Lytechinus pictus: one gene and its partners. The protein of the gene in region 1 purifies or fractionates together with the protein of each later gene. This does not show direct contact. Links are inferred from orthologs where the notes say so. Each region holds a gene or a part of one and is shown on either strand. Other genes may lie near its edges.

Evidence for each region.
Region 2: the proteins of transcription initiation factor TFIID subunit 1-like (region 1) and transcription initiation factor TFIID subunit 6-like purify together in Drosophila melanogaster (affinity purification with western blotting; 3 studies listed by BioGRID, with this or other methods). This does not show direct contact. The link is inferred for Lytechinus pictus from reciprocal best matches to the Drosophila melanogaster genes Taf1 and Taf6.
Region 3: the proteins of transcription initiation factor TFIID subunit 1-like (region 1) and transcription initiation factor TFIID subunit 9-like purify together in Drosophila melanogaster (affinity purification with western blotting; 3 studies listed by BioGRID, with this or other methods). This does not show direct contact. The link is inferred for Lytechinus pictus from reciprocal best matches to the Drosophila melanogaster genes Taf1 and Taf9.

The regions. Positions count from the first base shown.
Region 1 is NW_026974140.1:16,366,815-16,374,046, reverse strand, and holds the start of transcription initiation factor TFIID subunit 1-like, read left to right. Parts: upstream 1-4,144; 5' UTR 4,145-4,155; coding exon 4,156-4,260; intron 4,261-5,387; coding exon 5,388-5,547; intron 5,548-6,503; coding exon 6,504-6,614; intron 6,615-7,232. UniProt on the Drosophila melanogaster protein: TFIID is a multimeric protein complex that plays a central role in mediating promoter responses to various activators and repressors. Largest component and core scaffold of the complex.
Region 2 is NC_087260.1:23,354,343-23,361,696, forward strand, and holds the start of transcription initiation factor TFIID subunit 6-like, read left to right. Parts: upstream 1-4,285; 5' UTR 4,286-4,404; intron 4,405-4,452; exon of another isoform or gene 4,453-4,573; intron 4,574-7,354. Other genes in the region: acyl-coenzyme A thioesterase 9, mitochondrial-like, read right to left, coding at 3,708-3,748. UniProt on the Drosophila melanogaster protein: TFIID is a multimeric protein complex that plays a central role in mediating promoter responses to various activators and repressors.
Region 3 is NC_087260.1:4,330,355-4,337,508, reverse strand, and holds the start of transcription initiation factor TFIID subunit 9-like, read left to right. Parts: upstream 1-4,085; 5' UTR 4,086-4,096; coding exon 4,097-4,217; intron 4,218-7,154. UniProt on the Drosophila melanogaster protein: TFIID is a multimeric protein complex that plays a central role in mediating promoter responses to various activators and repressors.

The sequences.
Region 1 (7,232 bases):
CTAAAGACATTAAAATATAAAAAATATGGGGTCCATGTGCTTGTTTTTAAACTATCAGTGTCCAAAGTGTTGCGAGTTGGCTTGAAAATATTGAAATCCACCTAAAATGCGCCGAAAACGTGCAAAAGTCTAATAATACTGTCTAAAAAATGTCTGAAACACCAATGGTTCCTTAGTCCTGCTCACAAACATTCAAAATCCATGTCATTTTCGTCATACTTTCTATACTTATAGAGGAATATATTGTGAAGACGTTAAAATATTAAAAATATGAGGTCCATGTGCTCTTTTTCAAATTATCAGTGTCCAAAGTGTTGCGAGTTGGCTTTAAACAGTCTATAATGCGCCTAAAACGGGCAAAAGTCTAATACCGTCCACAATGTCTAAAATATGAATGGTTCCTTAGTCCTGCTCCCAAACATTCAAAATCCATGTCATTTTCATCATACTCTCTAGAGTTGTAAAAACAATATATTCTAAAGAAGTTAAGACATTACAAGTTTGGGGTCCATGTGCTCGTTTTCAAATTATCAGTGTCCAAAGTATTGCGCGTTGGCTTGAAACAGCCCAAAATGCACCGAAAACAAGCATAAGTCTGTTAATACCGTCTAAAATGCAAGTGGTTCCGTAGTCTTGCTCCCAAACATTGAAAATCCATGTCGTTTTCATCATACTTTGCACATAGATACTTTAGCACCTGAATATTCCAAATATGCAAAAATTAACATGGGTCCATGTGCTTGATTTTTTGCTATAGAGCTTAAAAGTTAACCCAAAATGGATGATGTTCTTAAGAATTGCGCATCCAAAAGAATTCGGCATTTTTAGACCTCACGAGATCACATCATTGAGATTAAAGCCCTATTAATCAGTCAAAATCCATGAAAATTTCATCAAATTTTGCAATATGATTAATAATTGTATCCGTAAGATGGATAATCTATCGATTGCTGTCAATTGTTTGCTCATTTAAGTCTAACAACAATATCAGTTCTTAGAAATTGCGGGAAAGATACTCAACCTCAAAAATGTCAAATTTTAATAACAAACTTGAGAAGTATAAGAAATGCTGCACTTTATTCAAAACCCATGTCATTTTCACCAAACTTTGCAAAGTTGTACAAGAAGGTATACCTAAGAGGTGCAAACATTTAAAAATATGGGTTTATGTGCTTGTTTTCAAACTATCAGCACTCTTATTAGAGCAAATTTGCTTCTTAAAACACGCGCCAAAAGCAGTATCTGTGAGGAAAAATTCTGAACCACTTTTTCATTTATTCATACTCGGGGTCATATTCATCATAGTTTGCAGCACTACAGAGAAACTATTTTGAAATTGTAGAGGAATTAAAAAAAATGGTCCATGGAATAATTCCAGTTTATTAGCTTCATAAAATAACACATCAGATCTGCAGTTAATGTTGATAAGGAGAAAAATCAGCTCACATTACCTACAGCTGATTAAATCACATGTTCATCCATTGTGACGTCAGCGCGCAGAGCGTAAAATATGCGCAGATCATGATGCGCACAAACATAACTGTGGAACGTCCTTAAATCAACTCATGATGTCAAATATTGACAGAGATATTTCTGTTTAAATTGGAGAATGTTAGCCTAGAGGACTCTGTGATGACATTTTTTATATTGTCATTTCATCACGGAGCCTATATGGGACCTAGCCTTGAGGACTATTATTATTTATTCGGCATCATCAAACACATAAACAACATATACAAACAATAGGAATAGGAGAGTCACATGGATGCCGGGAAAGGAAAAAGATTAACTAAATAACTATAACCCGAAGGTCTTCCTTTCCAATCCATGTGACTAGGACTCCATGATGATATTTTTTAATATTTTGACATATGTACTTCTACATCATGGAACCTTGAAACTCTTTCCATATATGCTAAGCGAGACCTCCACACCCGGATGGATTTCCCTAGGAAATCCATATTTACAGGGTGAAATCGGTTTATAAGTGTGAATTTGATTGATATTTGAACCTTCAAACGCCTAATGCGTATGAAGGGATAAAAATTATTTCACCATGAATGGCAAAAATGACAGGTTTCTTATCAGATCAATCTTGTGTTGATCCCTCGATCCGTTTTTCAACAAAGCAAATACAATAGGTCTGACCCTTGAACCGCTTCGTTATGATGTACCTTCGATTAGCGATGTTACAAAATGAAGAACAATTTATAGATAAAAATTGTTATTTAACAAATACCAAAATTTGATACGTGATTATGAATAATTATTATTATTATTATAATTATTTATAATCACGTATTAATTTGGGTCGTTTATTGCCGGGCGATTAGACGACATGAAAGTGATGCCAGCTCTCAAACAAAAAATAAGTTGGCGCCATCCCAGATAAACTGCATCAGCATGTTATTGAATGACAACAAAAATGGAAAAAGGTGATATGTCAGGGTGGCTTGCCGTAAACGCATTTTCCCTATAATACCGATGGTGGCGGGTGGTGTGCAAAGGACATCATGCCTACATAGGACATGTCTTTCCAAGAACCATTCTTTGTATCACCCAAATGGGCTTTGTGAAACATTTGACCCTTACATGCAACATGCCCCTGGCCTATAATAAGCTTTAATTTAAGTAAAGTTTGTCGTTAAAGAATAAAGTGACAGGAAAAAGAAGAATTTTAAATGAGCGCAATAGATTGGCCCAGAGTTTGCACAAGTAAAATTAAATATTGTTACCCAGAGGAATGCAAGCTTTCACAGAAAATCCCCCCTCCCCGTTTGAGAGCCATAATCAAAATTTGTAATGTAAATATGCAGTTCATACACAAGTGAGGACCTTTTTTTGCTTGTCAAATTTTTTTGTGGACAAAAAGACCTTCAATTTTGGATGATAAATAACCTTTTTTTTTGCTTGTCAAAGGTTCCTCGGGTAAAATGTGCCCCCCCCCCCCTTTGGAAATCCTGGATCCACCACTGATTGAAGTAAAAGTTAAAATATAACAAAAATGAAACCACAACTAGGTCTAGAATGCCTTTTTCAAGATAAGTCACTAGTATTTTATTGATTCTTTAAAAACGTACATAGAACTAAATAGGATCTACCAGAAATTATGAAATTGTTATCTACATGTACCTTCATTTCATTTCATTTATTTCCATTTTCAACAATTACAGTTTTGTACATTTTGACATAGAACAAAACTTAATTCAAGTATCCCTGTACAAAAATTATATTCAAGATTATTACATATCAGGTTGGAAATGGAGGAGGCTGCTAAAAAGCGGAGCTTGTAGAGTGCAGCCTCCTAATAAATATTATTGTACTTACATAGCATAAAAAAATCAAAATAACAACTTGAGCATAAACCAGTTAAATTAAAAAGATATAGGGGAAATTAAAATAGAAAAGAAAATAAGAAAAAGAGAGATTAAAGGTCTCCAGAATCCAGCCCCAGCACTCACAAACGGACCTCGTTGATCAACAGGAAAACGAAAAAGATGGAAAAGTGTACGTCACATGATAATTATGTTTGATTTATAAAAAAAAAAGAGATTGAGTGATGAAGAGTTAATTCAATGGTTATCTTGGAGAAATTTTTTGAACTTATATTTGAAAGAATTTAGGCTTGGTGATTCTTTGATGTTATTATTAATAGTTCCCCAGAGTCTAGAGCCTTCAAAAGTAAAAATTTATTTTGTAAGGATGGTCTGGGGTAGTGGTAAATGGAATTCATCTGATTGACGTGTGGGATATTTGTGAAGAGTTTTGTTTTTTGTTAAATGAAGAATGAAATATGGGTGGTAACATATTATTGTTTAACTGATACATGAATTGACCTAAGTTATATTGGTACAGTGTTTTTATTTTTAGAATGTTATTGTTGAAAAACAAGTGATCTGTGTGGGATCTCCAGGACAAGTTGAAAATAACACGCAACGCCTTCTTTTCTAATAGCAATATTTTATCTAGGTAGGTTGAGTGTGTATTTCCCCAAACAATTGCTCCATAATTTAGATATGGTAAAATTAATGTTGAATAAAGCATTTTTACCTTATCTTGATATTCAAGTGTAATCTGTATGTACCTAAACTTGCTATTCAAGCTTTATCAGATACATGTATTTTTGTTTATCTATCACAAGGTTGGATCAGCAAGATGGATTCTGAGGATGAAGATGGTGGCCATGAATTCTCATTGACTGGATTCATGTTTGGTAACATTGATAAGAGTGGACAATTAGAAGATGATGTCTTTGATGAGGTATGGATAGTGCATATATCATTCATAACATTTGACCATTACTGTGCATGTGAATCACAATGCAAGGACAGTTTAACCAATAGCAGTAAACTTGTGGATGTTGTTAATATACATGTAGCATCAATGCAATCTAGAATTATCATGTGTTATCATTTTTAAATATTTCTTTATAAACCCATCAATTTGCTTTTAAAGAGCTTTAATCTGGTTATGGTATTCAATAGGCTATGTGCATGCATGTGTACAAGGTTGCAATTTCGTAGAGAGTTTGATTGAGAATGCCTATTTCACTCCATATATGGATTTGTTTTAGTAACTGCATGAGAGGAAGTTCAATGCAATACAGCACAATAAAATACAATACAAGTAAAACAGAAATATGCTGCATATACATGTAGCACCATACCACACTCATACCAGCAGCAAAGTAGGATTACTTGACACAAAGAGTATGTGGTGTTAACCTCAAGTATATTTACTTTTGTTATATTCTATCTTGACAGAGGTGTTATGGCTCAGTGGACAAGTCTCTGAACTTTGAACCACAAGGCTCAGGGTTTGAATCCCATTGCATCACTTGCATCTTTTATCTACATTTATCAACACTCATCTTCTATGCTCTCCACCTAGGTGTAGTAAATGGCTAGGAAGGAATTGCTCAAAGTCTAAAATACATGTACATGTATCTGATCAGGCCTGGGTAATATAGTAATAATAACAATAATTGTACGTTTATATTGCACAATTTCTATATGTATATACTCAACTGCGCATTACAATAATGTTACCATTATCTTTACCGTGGCTATAGCTGTGCTGCCTACAGGCGCTCTGGCATTTGAGGAATTTCTTCCGGGTACCCATTTACCTCAACTGGGTGGAGTGCAGCACAATGTGGGTAAATTTCTTGCTAAAGGAAAACACGCCATGGCTTGGATTCGAACCCACGTCCCTCAGATTGAAAGACGGGAGTCATAACCACTACACCACGATGCCCCCACAATATTATGCAGGACTTGCAGACATTGTTCAAACTGCTGTAGCCTATAGATGTTGTATATTATTGTTATGTACAGTATTTGGGTTTTTTCTATCTTTGATCATAATTTGATTCTATTGTGTAACAGGATGCCAAGTGTCACCTTTCAGGTCTCGGAACCCTGAGTGGTCTGGAATCTATGTTTAAAGAGCTGACTGGAGAACAGAGGAAGGATGATGATAAGGAGGATGACGAGGAGGAGGATTACGATGATGATGATGAATCAGGTTCTGATCAAGACTCTAGCAGTAAGGAATAGATAGGCAGGGCTGAAAGATGAGACCATTCAATAATGTGGTCTGGGCTACCAAAGCTTGAAATTATATTCTCTTTAAACTTAATAAGCTCATGATAAGAGTTGAATTGAAATAGATATATCTAGATGCTGGAAAGCATGTGTCTTAAATAATGTATCTTTGTTAATTTTAATGATTGTGCACTGGAGTTACTGATTTATACATGTATGGCAAGTTCCCCCAAGTCTGCGCAGTCCCCCTTGTCTGCGCACACGCGTATCTGCGCGATTCTAGTAAAAGAAGATACGCAACGAGCACGAACTTTACACATGCAATACATAGACAGGTATTGATAAAAAAATCCGACTCAAAATGATGGAAAAATAATGAATTTAGGGCATTTCATGTGACGGCCTCAAAATGCAGCCTTTCTCATCAAAATCCCCGAATCGTGTGCAAAGTGAATGAGTGCGCAGACATGGGGTACCATTTATTTTTTTTCAATCTGAAAATGACTGCCCAAGGTTTTTTCAAGAAAATCCTATATTTTCTTTCATTTTTTAATGAGAAATTTGGTACACTTACTTTTAATAATATAAGGAACATTATTACCTGAAAGATTTTGTGAAATAAGAAGAAATTCATGTTAAATCTTAACTCAAATTGTTAGGTGCGCAGACTTGGGGCCCACCATCATATGTATCATATTCAATAAAATTCAAGGGGCAGTTAGAAGGCAATTGATTCTGTAATGAGATGAACTTCTTTTTGCTATTGTACATTATTACATCTTGCCTTCCAAGCTTAAAGTAACAGCCATATTTATCATAGTATTTGATTGTAGACTGACATGGTGACATTGATGACTGATTGGGCTGAACATCAGAGAGTTTATTGTTTATTTACAGTAGAATTCAGCAAGGAGTATACATTATTTTAATTCATTTCTTGTGTTGTATGTATTACAGGTGAGAAAGAGAAAGCAGTTGAAGCTGTGGATTACTCCGACATTACAGAGATGGCCGAAGAAGAACAGGTCTATATAGATACAATGGCTTCTATGTCTACACAAAATAAAGGTAATAACTTTGGATTCTAGAGTAAAATAATCTGCTATTGAAAATGATGTTGCTGCAAGGTGGTGTTTGTAATATTCCACCACATTCCATGGAAAAGTAGTTTCTGATACTTGATACGATAGCTCTATTTGCACATTTATACTAAATATTTCATATCAACATCGTAGAGATATCTCATTATGTAAGGAGACAATTACTGTATGCCCATTTTATTTTTCCTGTTACAGCTTAATGGAATAGGTAATTAATATTTGAAATGTGTTGATGACCACGTTATAATAATAATAACGCAGTTCTTGTAAAGCGCATATCACATGTCATAACGTCCCTATGCGCTTCCCTGGCTTTAGCCCCGCAGCCTTTTACAGCACGGTGGCATTTCGAGGAATAAATTCCTGTCAAGTACCCATTCATCTCACCTGGGTTGAGTGCAGCACAATGTGGATGAATTTCTTGCCGAAGGAAATTACGCCATGGCTGGGATTCGAACCCACTACCCTCTGTTTCAAAGTCAGAAGACTAATCCACTGGGCCACAACGCTCCGCAACGTTCTAACAGAGAAGGGAGAAATGTAATTTTTAGGATGAGAAGGGCAGTGATCATTATTGGATATACAT
Region 2 (7,354 bases), on another chromosome or scaffold:
TGTGAAATCTTTGCAAGCTTGGTCAGGATCTGTCATCTCTGTCAGTGATCTTCCCAGATCCTCAAGTTTATTTGACACTGCATCTTCCCATGACCTTTTAAAAAAATTTTAATTACCATACGATATGTAGGAAAGCTGCTCGCAAATGACGTCACAAACCAGATAATAACAATTCTAATCAATTTTTATTCTGATGGATTTTCCTAAAACCTTCGCCAAGATTTTTATAATTATTTTTTCTGCTATTTTTACAATGAACTTTTCAGGGTGAACTTCCCTAAGCCAGGCCTTGTCTAGACTTAGTCTTAGAAAAATTAATCTGAGACTGAGACTGAGTTTAAGATGCAGATGTAACGTTTAGCGTTTTCAGACATCCATAACATCGTACTTACACATATGTTTAACTAAAACACATGTTAAGGCCAAACATTAATCATAGCATCATTCATAATTACATTCGCAACGTTTGTTAAACAAATTGTTACCGTTACGGGCGTTAGTATACTAACTAACCTCGCAATACGTGCGAGTGCCGCGACACTCCAAAATATGGAAAAGGAAACACAATTTTAAACGTATGGGACTGGGCTTCCCAGCGGGCATAACATGATTTATACTATTTTTCTGGGCTTAATTTGAATGCAAACTACTGCAAATACATCAAAATGCATCAAAAGTTTTGCAGATACAAATAATCATCGAAATTACTTACCATAATCGAGTAACAGACATTTTATCCGGTCATTCGCCAGTCGCTTCGTTAGCACATCAATCATGAAAGTCAAGAGCGTCTGCTATACGGTAACGGTATACGACTTGTCCTGTCTACTCTTAACCCTGGATGGTTATTTATTATGGATACTATTGCCTTCATAGGGCTGATCTCCGAAAGCAGCGGAGGGAGAAAACCAGGAAGGAAGGTAAAGCACCCGTTCACACCACGGAAATACGTACACCAGTTGGTTTTAATCCGGGTTGCGTTTCTCGATGATCATGAAAGATGAGCTAGAGAAAGGTGGTGAAGCCAACTAGAATACATTTTAAAAGGTCAGAGGCACTAGCGTACCTACGGGGGGGGGGGGGGCAGGGGGGGCACTCTGCCCCCCTGACGAGTCACAACCCATGCAAAAACGTATCTTTGCCCTCCCTGACGGGCTTGAAAAACCTTTTTTGCCCCTCTGACGAGCTTTAAGTCCTTCAATGCCCCCTGACTTGAAGACCTTTTTTTTTTTTTTTTTTTTTTTTTTTTTGCTTGTTAAATTTTTGGGCGGACGGTTTTGCCCCCCCCTGTGGAAAATCCTAGGTATGCCACTGGTCAGAGGCCTTTTAATACAGAAATCATGTACAATAAAAACAATAGAGGGCCGAGTATTGAACCCTGCGAAATTCCGCATTTTGCAATATTAAGATAAAACTTATCACTACATTGTTTGCGATTACCTAAATAACTTTTGAAAAGATCCAATGTGATTCCTTTAATTCCATAAGAGTTTAGTTTTTTCTAATAAAATAAAATGGTCGATCTTACCGAAAGCTCAGCTGAGATCTATAAACAAGCAATCATAATTTCTTCATCATCTATTGCATGCACGAGTAACTTTCTGAATAAAATTTACCAATAAAGCAGATGTGGAATATCCTGGCTAAAACCATATCATTAGTAGGGTTCAATACATTGCACTTTATGATAAAATTTAACAATCGGTTATAGATAGATACATTTTTCTAATATTTTAGAAAAGATAGCTTGTATACTGCATGAGATAGGTCGATAATTAGACATAATTTCAGAAGGACCCTTTTTTTATGAACTGGAATAACTTTTGCAATCTGTAGTTGACATGGAAATGATCCCAATTCAAAACACTTATTAAATAATGCACTTAATGGCTCACTGCTGATCAAAATAGTTTTTTTTTAATGACCGACATTTCTATACTATATATACCATTATAGCTTGGACTTGTATTTAACAATAACAATATTAATTATTTCAGTGCTTGAAATAGGTCTGAAATATGCAGTTTGATTATTAATAGACAAATATGATTTAAAGTCATGGCCAGAACAAGAAGAAAAGGAACAATTTATATCATAATATATCCCTCTTAATTGTTAGGGACGTATAATTTTATTATTTTGTACACTCTTGATAAGCACATTTTGATAAGGGAATTGTGATGTTCTTGCACACAGGTGAATGCGACTATATATTATAGTCTTTCTGGTGATAGGCCTATACCAGGGGCCGCGGAACGGTTTTCAAAGTGGGGGGGGGGGGGCTGACCATGCAAAAATCACAATCATATGGTAATTTTTACGTTTTTGTACACGGTTTTGGAAAAAAGTGGGGGGCTGAAGCCCCCCCCCCCCCCCCGCTCCGCGGCCCCTGTATACGTCTATGTATTTCTTTTAAATGTTTATATGTTTTTGTTCATCTTGATTTTTCGGATGATCTGCAGAATAACCGATCTAATAATTGTTCATTAAAAAATATTTGAAATTAACAAATGAAAAAAAATCAACTCGACAAATTTCCCAAAACCCCACCTTATTTTTTAGAGTGGTCACAAAATTCGAGCGGAGTTGACCTTCCTTAGCTAGATAGAGCAACACGTTTGTGTGTTGCTGCCCTCTACGTTCGTTTGTCTACGTCTATTACAACGAACGTAGAGGGCAGCAACACACAAGCGTGTTGCTCTAAGGAAGGTCAACTCAATACGCGCATGCAGCTGAGGTACGCGCATATTTTATCATTTATGCCAACGAAATCATACGCCGATCCAATACAACAACAAATTAGTAGCGATCACGAAAACAATATGAAAGAATATGACTACAACGATATCAAAGATAACATTAAAAAATTATGTTGGAGAATATACGTACATTTGAAAACATACGTTGATATTTAAAACTTTACAAATATAAGTTTTAGAAACTAAATCATTACCAAATCGGTGATTGTTGTTATCAGCGATTTCACCAGACGGCTGTATTAAGGCGACCGCACACCTTACGATTGGTCTGCGACCCGATTTCAGAATGAAATGTAGTAGAATTTGATGCTAACATTGAGATTTGGAATATCTTACTGTGTAATGTTCTAAATCATCGTACGAATACCTATGTTCAAATCTGTGACTATGCTATCATCCTTCTTAGAATAAAAGCGAATTTAATATCTAGTCGTAATGACGTCATAGCAGTCGTACGATTGGCTACGATTTGAAACTAATTTGGCCTTTACTCAGAAATAAAGGCTTGCAATCTTTCAAAATGGTTATATTAGTATTCTTTCAATTAATTTAAACCTCAAATTAAATGATATGTTCCATTCACATTTTCAGAAAATGAGCAAAATGCGATTTGTTCCAAAATCGGATCGCGGACAGTCGTAAGGTGTGCGGTGGCCTTTAGGTGATTTGCGTCGAGACGATTTTGTGACCACTCGCAAAGCATTTCGGGATTGAATATGACCACCTTATTTTCTCTGAGCTCTTCGCTGAATCCATCATCACAGTGCAGCTGCAGCGCAGCGCGCAGCCAATGCAATGCATCCGATGCGTGGGTTGTTGTTTTTCGACGTCCATGCCATGGTCTCGGACTCGGAGTTGAAATTTAGACCCGGATTTCGGGGATACAGCGCCTTTATTTCAGATTTATAGACTTAAAAGTCAAATGACAATTAAAATTTGAAATCTAACCTTGAACAATCATCGTTGATTAACATCAGCCCTGAAGCCATTACACTTCAAATCAGGCCAGGCAAATTAGACGTCATTGTCTATGTTGCTAGAAGATCTATGACGAGTCGCCTGAAGCCCCAGCGCATCATCAACGTCACTATAGCTAGCTGCGCGACCGGCCCAGACTCGGCGCACCCAGGCCGGAAAAATGACCTCGATTATTACGGTGGTTGTCTATGCATTTATTAGTGGTGCAGCGAAATTCAGCAGAAGAAAATAACAGATTAGGGGTATCCTCGTCATAGACTTAATATTCCAAAATGAGGAAAAATGTCAAAATCATGATTATTGAAGCTAAATATTTTCTTTAAAAATAAGAATAATATTTTTAATATTTATACCCAGAATAAGCGATCTAATAATTGTTCATTAAAAATATTTGAAATTATCAAATGAAAAAAAATCAACTCGACAAATTTCCCAAAACCCCACCTTATTTTTTAGAGTGGTCACAAAATTCGAGCGGAGTTGACCTTCCTTAGCTAGATAGAGCAACACGCTTGTGTGTTGCTGCCCTCTACGTTCGTTGGTCTAATATAACGTGAAATATACTTTTCTTCTGGCAGCGCAGTGGACCCATGAGAAGAGTTGTCGTTAAAAAAATCACTGGACAATCACTGTCTCACCCGGCTTGAATTGAAGTCCTTTTGATAAGGTGAGCCAAGATTATATAGGTTTACATGACAAATTTATCGTTGCTTACCTGCATAAACTTGAACTTAAAATATTTTTTTTTAAAGTAAACTAACGCCGTGTTGTGTAGTCCGTATCCGGTCCATACACCAGCTCAACCCGTCATGCCCGTGCGTGCGATTCTTATGCATATAGGGCGTAGGGGCAATCACGTTTCTGTGTTTCGATTCGACCGTTTTTTTTTTCTACCTTTGACTTGACTTGCACGTTTGCATAAATTTTGATCACTTACTTCAGTCAATAATAAAAAATAATACTGTGAAGATGAAGTCCTACTGAGACCGACTGAGATGGGAGGCAGTGTAGCTCAGAGTCAGACTCGGTCGGTTAGACTAGTGACTCACTAGTTACTATATGGTGAGACTACCACATATCGACCACCTCTTTTGAAACCGACCACCTTGCGCGCGTTAAAATTATTGCGTATTACAAACGATACGCGCGGGAGAGTAGGCGCAGTGTCCATAGAAACGGTAAGAATCGATTTTACGAGAAAAAAAGAAGCAACAAAAAGTAAAAATTTAGTAGAATTAATCAAAATTGTATTGACCAGACCCAATTCCCGCTGAAAAACCAAGAAGTCCGATAGGAAACGGCTTTAGAACAAATATCCGTCGTCAATCGTCGAATCATGTGCCGGAGCTCGCAGTGGAAGTAGTGAGACGATCATTTAGCATGTTGACATCATAGAACTGATTTGGAAGAGTAAAAATATTTCGCCACCGCGACAAGAATCGGCCGTAAACTTAGTGTATCGCGGGTGGTCGGTTTCAAAAGACGGGTGCAAATGAGCAAATGTAAAATCGTTGTATTCGTTGTTCGTCGATATATACGCGGATTGAATCGGAGTCGCCGAGCGAAACATGGGAATCTGATCTGCTCAATTTTCTGCACAAATGGGACTAAAACTGGGTAAAATTGATGAATATTTTCGCAGATACGATGCTGAGAAGATTAGGTGGTCGATAAGGGGTAGTTCCAACCATACTTAGATTAGAAACTTAGGTCTTAGACTTGGTCTTAGAGCGCCTGTTCCGGATAAGATCGTACTCGTAGATCTCAACGTGCGTGGGTTCGAGTCCCGCAGCATGCCGGAAGACGTCTTACAAAAAAACTGATGCTAGCGTTGTGTGTTAACGTGCCTCACCGCTGTGTTCAGTGCGGGTGTGAATGCAGTTGGAAAACACTCCGTCCATCGGAAAGGACGCAAATGTTGGTCCCGTGTATAGCTACTATAGGAGAGTCACAACCTATTCACGTTAAAACCAATACACTATTCGTCAAAGAGTAGGGTGTTCACCCGGTGTATTGCACCTGCCGGTCCCCGGTACTACAATACTGCAAGAATCTTCAGGATTGAAGGAGGCAGTGTAGCTTGAAGAAGAAGAAGACTAACATGACTAAGAATAAAGATTAAGAACAAGATCGATCGATGCTGAAAGTGAACTGAAAATAATGGAGCTTAAAATTCCCGATGGCGATGTGGCAAGGCCAAGCCAGGGGCAGGGCAAAAGCCAAGCCCAAGGCACCCATGCCATGGGTGCATTACTGCCGCCATGTAGGATGGGGGTCGGGTGTCCGGACACTTTATATTTTTGAAGCCTTCTTTTTTGTCTTTGTTTGGATTACACTAAGAATATGAATTTAATCTAAATTGTAGTCATCTTCTATTTTGTTCTTTATAATATTTCCTAACAGTAACATTTTGTACTAAAAATTGCTGAAACTTCGCTTGTAAATTTTTCCAAATGACTTTCTAAAATTGATCGTCCAACTGGGTGTACAGGAAAAATGAAGGCAAGGCGCATGCAAAATTGCAACAAACTCCTGCAAATTTCAGAAGATGATTCATAAAATCAAATCCTATGAAACTTACCGAACGATGCATGTCATGGAAGTCAATTCCCCCTAATGCATGTAATATGATGAATATCCCTCAAATAGCGTCAATTTAAGCATTGATTTTTCTTCTCGTTGACAAAATACGGAGCTTGCTTCTATTTCCCAAATATTTTTCCGTCTAATTAGCTAGAGAGGGCGCGCGATTTATCCTCATATCAAAGACACTACAATTAATTAATTAATTTAAGGGAAAGACTACTTGGATTTACTTGGATGTTGAGATGTAAAGCAATCTGCTTATGTGCTACTCGTTGATTTTCTTATCTTTGGTAAGGTCTGTACTTCAGAGGATGGTTGTGCCAAAATTTTTCAAGTCTGGATTTGAACTGATTTAGACTATTTGCACAAAAACAGTTTTGACTAGGCACAAAAACTGTATTACACGTAAAGTCGATGCAAGCGTTACGTGAAGTCGGCAAAGTGTCCAATGTGTGTCTCTATTTTATCAAACAATCATAGGAAATGCGCATACAATAAATCAAGGATCTAGTTTAAAAATACTGACAAGCTGAATTAAGGTTGTGAATTGTATTAGCGCCAGTAACGACCTTCCTTTCATTTCCGTGGAAGAGACATGCGAAGCCACTTTCCAGGCCGAGGTTAGCGAGTTTGCTCTTTTTTATGTGCTTTTTATATTTAAAATATTTTTAAAATTGAAAATAGAACGCTTTTCAACAAAAAAAAGCCCTGGTGAGTAGCTGAATGAGTTTCGGCTAACATTATTTGTGTTATGAAGCGATGTTAACTGACATCTCTAAAATCCATTGCGTAAACACGTTCGTAGTGCAAGGTTAGTATAGCATACTTACCTTGCAATACGTGTGAGTGAAGCCAAGGCAATGTTGTGGCTGAGCCTGAAGTGTTTTTACGTAGTTGAATGTTTATGGCAGCTGTTGAGGCTACTGGGGCTATTGAGATGAATAGGGTGTTAAATGAAAGGTCTTGATGAGCTCTAAATGATGCTCTGAAACAAACACCTCAGTTCTCAATTTTTTTTGTAACATACCTAC
Region 3 (7,154 bases), on another chromosome or scaffold:
TTAGTTGAATTCCTGTCCTGTTCATGATTTGAAAAAGTGTTACGAATGTCCAGTTTTTAGGTTGGAAAATCAAAAACTTTCAGGAATCTAATAAAATAATGCTAGCGCGAAGCGCGAGCATTATTTTATTAGATTCCTATCCTGTTCATGATTTTTATAAAACTGTTAAGAATGTACAGTTTTTAGGTTGGAAAATTACAAACTTAAGCTCGCGCTCGCATCTATTATTTAGTTACATTCCTATTCTGTTCATGATATGAAAAAGTTTTACGAATGTTCAGTTTTTAGGTAATTCCTAGCTATCCTGTTCATAATTTGAAAAAGTGTTACAAATGTCCAGTTTTTAGGTTGCAAAATCAAAAACTTTCAGCTCGCGCTTCGCGCTCGCATTATTTATAGAGGCCTTTCATCTTTAGTCAGGAATACCTCCTCTTCGAAATGTATGTATGTATATATATATTATAATTATATATATATATGTATGTATGTGTGTGTGATGGTGTGTGTGTGTTTGAGTTAGTAACTCTGTAGAACATAACAACGGAAAACTCAAATGTGGCCCCCTTAATTTTAGGAAGAGATTTCCGCCCATGTCCTAGCCTGGATCTTCTGAGCACCTTAGTTAATGGTGAACTCTGCCAACTCTGGTCCAGCAAACTCCTCTGTCTGTCTTATGGACGTTCCACAGTTATGTTTGTGCGCATTATGATCTGCGCATATTTTAAACTCTGCGCGCTGACGTCACAATGGATGAACAAGTGATTAATTAGCTGTGAGTATGAGCTGAATTTTCTCATCATCTGCACTCTAACTGCAGATCCGATGCGTTATTTTATGAAGCTAAGAAAATAGAATTATTCCATGGACCATTTTTTTAAATATCTCTACAATTTCAAAATACTTTACTCTGCAGTGCTGCCAAGAATCACGAATATGTCCCCGAGTTTGAATAAATGGTAGAGTGGTTTTGATTTTTTCCTCACATAGATACAAAGCATTCGACGCATTTTTGGTGTTTTAAAAAGCACATTTGCTCTAATAAAAATGCTGATAGTTTATAAACAAGCACATGAACCCCTATTTTTTAATGTTTGTACTTCTTAGGTATACCTTCCTCTACAACTTTGCAAATTTTGGTGAAAATGACATGGATTTTGAATAAAGTGCAGCATTTATTGTACGTTTGTAGTTTGTTACTGAAATTTTACATTTTTTAGATTGGGATTTTGTTATATTTTACGCAATTTTTAAGAACTGACAGTGCTGTTAAACTTAAAATTGCAAACAAATAGCACTATTAATAGATTCTCAATTCTAACGATACAATTATTAATTCTCTTGCGAAATTTGATGACTTTTTCATGTATTTTGACTGAGTAATGGAGGTTTAAACTCATTGTAGTAATCTTGGGCGGTCTAAAAATGCCAAATTCTTTTGAATGCGCGAACTTTGAAGCTCTATAGCAAAAAATCAAGCACATGGACCTATGTTAATTTTTGCATATTTCGAATATTAAGGTTCTAAAGTATCTATGTGCAAAGTTTGGTGAAAATGACATGGATTTCACTTTAACTGTGGAACGTCCTTAAATGCTGTCCGTGCATCACCTTCTCTTTCCATCCTTCCAATCTCATTTTCCTAGGATCAGCCTTCAGCTTTCGCTGTCATATCCTTTCCTTTCCTCATCGACTCTCTGACAAATAATAGTAATAGTTATTATTGTTATTATTATTATTGTTATTATTATCATTATTATTATCATCAGTGGCGTAGACAGGTTCGTACACCAGGGGGGGATGACTGGGCTGCCAACGCTGTTGAGGGCGCGAAGCGCCCGAGCGAGGGAGCGAAGCTACCGAGGGGGGGGGGGGAGGGTGTGGGAGGGGGGTGTCCCCCCTCCCACGGTAGGGAGCTTTTGCAATTTTGAACTTGAAATCGTGCAATCTGATGCATACTTAATGAGGTAAAATAACACACACAAGCGCGCACGCACACACACACATACTCACCCCCCCCACACACACACACACACACACACGGGTGCGCGCACCACACACATACTACGCCTTGAATGGACAGACATACATCGACAAGATCTACACACCGTGGCATACGAATACAGAATGGACTGACACATAGTATTGCATATTGAACCACACTACGTATTTATTTATCTCTGTGAATTTTGCTGTTACACCTCTTCAGAAAAAAACCCAATGTCAACTGTGTACACGCAGGTATAGTCTTTGTTGTCTTGATATGGGTATGTGGTTATGAATGAAAACAGCCTCTGTGGCCATTTGTGAATAGAACACATAAACAACAAACAAATAACAATATGTCTGTTCATTATAAAGCATAATGAATACGTACATACTATGCTTTTTTTTACCTCAAAGAAACAGGCATAGTATCCATAGATGGATATTGGCTGGCGGCTCATTAACATACAGATACAAAAAACATAAACAGTATCACTATGATCCATGGAGTAACAATACTGCTCTGTAAGTTTGTGAAGAAATCGGAACCATAACGGCATTGCATCGTTTCAAATTAGAGCATTATTTACTTCTATTTGATCTCAGTCTTATAATAGTAATAATAATAATAATAATAATAATAATAATAATAATAATAATAATAATAAAAAAAAATAATAATACTAATACAAATAATAATGCTAATACTAATAGGTTCCTTTTATCTCGCATTTCAAGACAGGGTAAATTCACACTGCGCTTTACATGAAACAAACTTCTTTAAACATTTCAAACTTATGTCTTCATGCATCAATCAACATACTTTAAATGAATACAAAACAAAGTGCATCTTAAATAAAACAAAAATAAATAAATAGTTAACAATACAGAAAAGATGTAGCTGCTGCAAGCTTAACAACAAACTAATGTATACCAGTCAGTCCTGATATCAGTATTAGTGTAACAATAGTCATATAGTGGGAGCATGAAGTTGAACAATTCATGATTATACATAATTATATATGTTTGTTTGAATAATACTTGTTATAAAGATAGTAGTATGGTACTCTCTGTCACGAATTATTATGTATACTGTTGTATCACATTCATTTTCTATTCTGTTTTAGATTGCGCTGATGCATTTTACACACAATGTATAATGCCTATAACACGAGTGGGCCAGACCACACATGTATTTCAATAAAAACCGACTTGAGAAAATAACGTGTATATAAATATATAAATAAATAAATAAATAAATGCATATAATGTATATATATATGTATAAATATCATATACCTGTAATATAATCTGATATAAACTAATAAATAAATAAATAAATATAATACATATCATATATGAGAAGGTATTGCTAGTACTCGGTTCGTGCCTGAAAAGTAGTCTCGATGAAAAGAAAAAAAGTTGTTGCTTCATTCCCATACCAAAAACAGCTTGATTAACAGTTGCTAATCAGATAATAGAGACATGCGGTAAGTTGGTAAACTTACTTAAGGAGCATTCATGGCTCAACAAACAAACATATCGGTCTCTTAGTCAGTTTTACTTTTGTAGTCTTGCAAATTTGTGTCTTAGAAACCAAATATCTTGCGCCTCTTTTCGTTCCTGCCCAGTAAATACTTGTAAGATTTTCTTTTTTTTACCGTCTGAATTGGCTTTCACCGTGTGAATGCGGCTAATAACAATAAACACAATTACAATAATGATGAGGATTATTATTATCATCATCATAATTATTATTATTATTAATATTATAATTGTTATCATTATTATTATTACTATTATTATCATCATTATGACTTATTAAGTAACCAAATATCATTCCCCAAAACCTGGGGGGGATGATTGTACATGCCATCCCCCCCACCTTGTGAGGTGGGGGGGATGCATCCCCCTCATCCCCCCCGTTGTCTACGCCCCTGATTATCATTATTATTTTAATCCTTATCCTTACCATTATTCTATTCATTTGAGTTTATTAAACAAATATTTTGCGGTTTGTGATCGAGGTGGATGATCACGTCACTGGTCGATCAAATCAAAATCGATTGCTTTGCTGCCATCTACGACAATAAGTTATACAGCTTTTGTCAAGATGGCTAGTTCCAACAAAACCCAGCCCCGCGATGCCGAAATTATGACAGCTATTTTGAAAGATATGGGAGTGACAGATTACGAGCCAAGAGTGATAAATCAGATGCTGGAATTTGCATATAGTGAGTATTGTAAATGAAAATGAGTAAGAAATAAACTATAAGTCAAAAATATCTTGAAGAATCGGGCACATCCAGTGCAGTGGCAGTGGGACCATGTCCATGGACTATGACGATTTGCACTCGCGGGCCCCATGCCATGGGGCGCGGTGGGGCCGGGCAGGAGCTATGATAACCCAGGGAGCTCCCGCCCGCGCAGCGGGAGGGAGCCCAGGACTGGCAGGAGCTTACCGTGTATTTGACCATAGTCACCGGACTAGGCCTAGGGTGATTTATGGTCTAAATATTTCTCCAAATGAATTGTGAAAACAGAAAGTATACCACAATTATATGGATGAAGGTCTAACGAGTGGCAGTTTCCGGACATCTGGGCACAGACTGGAACCTCAAAAAAACGAAAAGTTCTCTCCTCTACCCCAGTCCCCAGTCTCGATCGGCCATTTTGTTACGATTTTTAACAAAAATGGCCGATCGAGACGGGGGTAGAAGGAGAGAACTTTTCGTTTTTTTGAGGTTCAAGTCTGTGCCCAGATGTCAGGAAACTGCCACTCGTTAGACCTTCATCCATATAATCGTGGTAATTGTATACTTTCTGTTTTCACAATTCATTTGGAGAAATATTTAGACCATAAATCACCCTAGTCCGGTGACTATGGTAAAATACACGGTAAGCCCCTGGGCTCCTGCCCGCTGCGCGGGCGCTCCCTGGGTTAGGGCTATGACTGAGTATGACGGCGTCCGCGTCAAGGACGTGGACGTTTTATAGTAATAGTGGCAAGGTGCCCCAAGACTGTTCAGTGCCCTTTAGGCTTTAATAAAAAGAAGATACCAAAGACCACAAAATATAGAATCTACACCCCTGAAATACATACACAGATAGGCGTGTTCATTAAAAAATCCGACTCAAAATGGTGGAAAAATATTGAATTCAGATTTCAGGCATTTCAATGTCACACTGGGGTCACGGCCTCAAAATGCAGCCTTTTTTACTTTATCATCAAAATCGTGTGTAACGTTAAAGTAAATGGGTGCGCGGACAAGTCAAGGGGCACCTTCTTTTGTTCAATCTGAAAATGACTGTCCGAGGGTTTTTCCAAGAATTTAATAGAAAATCATATATATTTTTTTCAAATTTTCACGAGATTTTTGGCTTACGGTACCCATTAAGAATATAGATAAGGAACAACATCAACTGAAAACTTTTGTGGAATAAAATTCATGTTTAACTTTAATCTTAAGTTAAAGTTTTAGGTGCGCAGACATGGGGCTCCCCTTCATACTAGTGGATCGTATTATTACCGATTGCTTTTCATGAATTCAATCATATCAAACCAAATATTCTTATAAAATTCACCAAACTTTCACCATAAATGCATGAATACCTAAGTTATAAATAATCTAGAACCTATGTAAAAATTTTTCCAAAATCGTTTTCTTTTTTACGCTATCAGCATCTAAGCCAAGGCAATTGGACCCCTCTTCACAGTCCTCGGCTTTGCATGTCGCCATGTGAACTGAAATCTACTACTGAACATACTGTTTTCTATGGGTGAAGTTGAGAAAGCAACAAAATCGCTGTTGAGCTAATTATTTTTAAAATATTGTATGAGTTTGAGAATAAAGATCTAGATCTGACAAAAGACTTTGAAAATGTATTTTGGACAATTTTCATCATCTTTCTATTCAATTTCTCTTTAGAATGATGTTGCAAAGTTTTGAGGGTATGAAATTATACTCTGACGCATCCTTTAAGTTTGGGACGTTGAGCTCTTTTGTTCCCCATAATCAGACTCTGGGCAGAAGATCCTATTAGGTTATATGAGTGATGCGCGCGTTCTCTAGACTGTAGACTCACTAGACTACTGACTTTACACTATTATTCCTATTAACAATTTTTTTGTTTTCTTTGTAGCCTAATGCTAGGCTCAATTTTTGTACTGCTTTTCTTTAAAATGTTGATCCCTTAATTTGTATCTGATTTATATTTGTATTTGGAATAATATATATATTAATAGTTGTTTGTATGGAAAGCAAATAAGAATCAAAGAATGGAAAGGTGTTTCAATGTGAAAAAGTTCCTTTATGAATGATGCAAAGTAGGTCTAGGCTACACCCTTTCATGTAATTTGCTTCTGGGTCACAATACTCCAGACTTTTTTATCGGATGGGCGAAAACATTTTTCAGATATTAGATTCAGGATTCAATTATATTTAATTGGTTGATGCATTCATGCAAGCTTACAAAGAAATTGGCTTTCAAATGCACAAAATACACAAAAGATGGAGAATACAATGTATCATAACAATTGAAACCTAATTTCAATTTCAATTTATTGACCATTAAAAAAAACATCAAAATATTTACAGAAATAACATGATACCAACAAAATAATACAAAATATAATGGGTAAAAAAAAGGTTATGAATAAACACACACACCCACACATCATCACACAATGCAAAAACAACACAGAAGATAGAATAGAAGATAAGACAAGAAAAAAAATGATAAAATACAATTACATGGGGGGATTGGAGTTGTTTAAATAATTGAACAAAAAATGACTTTGATAGTGACTTAAATCGCGAATGTTGTGCTGTTTTTTGATATCATATGTGAGAGAATTCCATTCTTTCACCCCGATATATCTGATCGAATTACGAATAAAATTAATTTTAGAAAAAGGAATACGTAAGTTGATATGTTGTCTAGTAGGGTAATTATGAATTTGAGAGTTTGAAAGATTGGGGAGAAATTTTCTGGAAGGGTGGCTTTGTGAAATTTAAACATGAAAATCCATGTATTTAAAGGGATGGTCCGGGCTGAAAATATTTATAATTTAATACATAGAGTAGAATTCACTGAGCAAAATGCTGAAAATTTCATCAAAATCGAATAACAAATAATAAAGTTATTGAAGTTTAAAGTTTAGCAATATT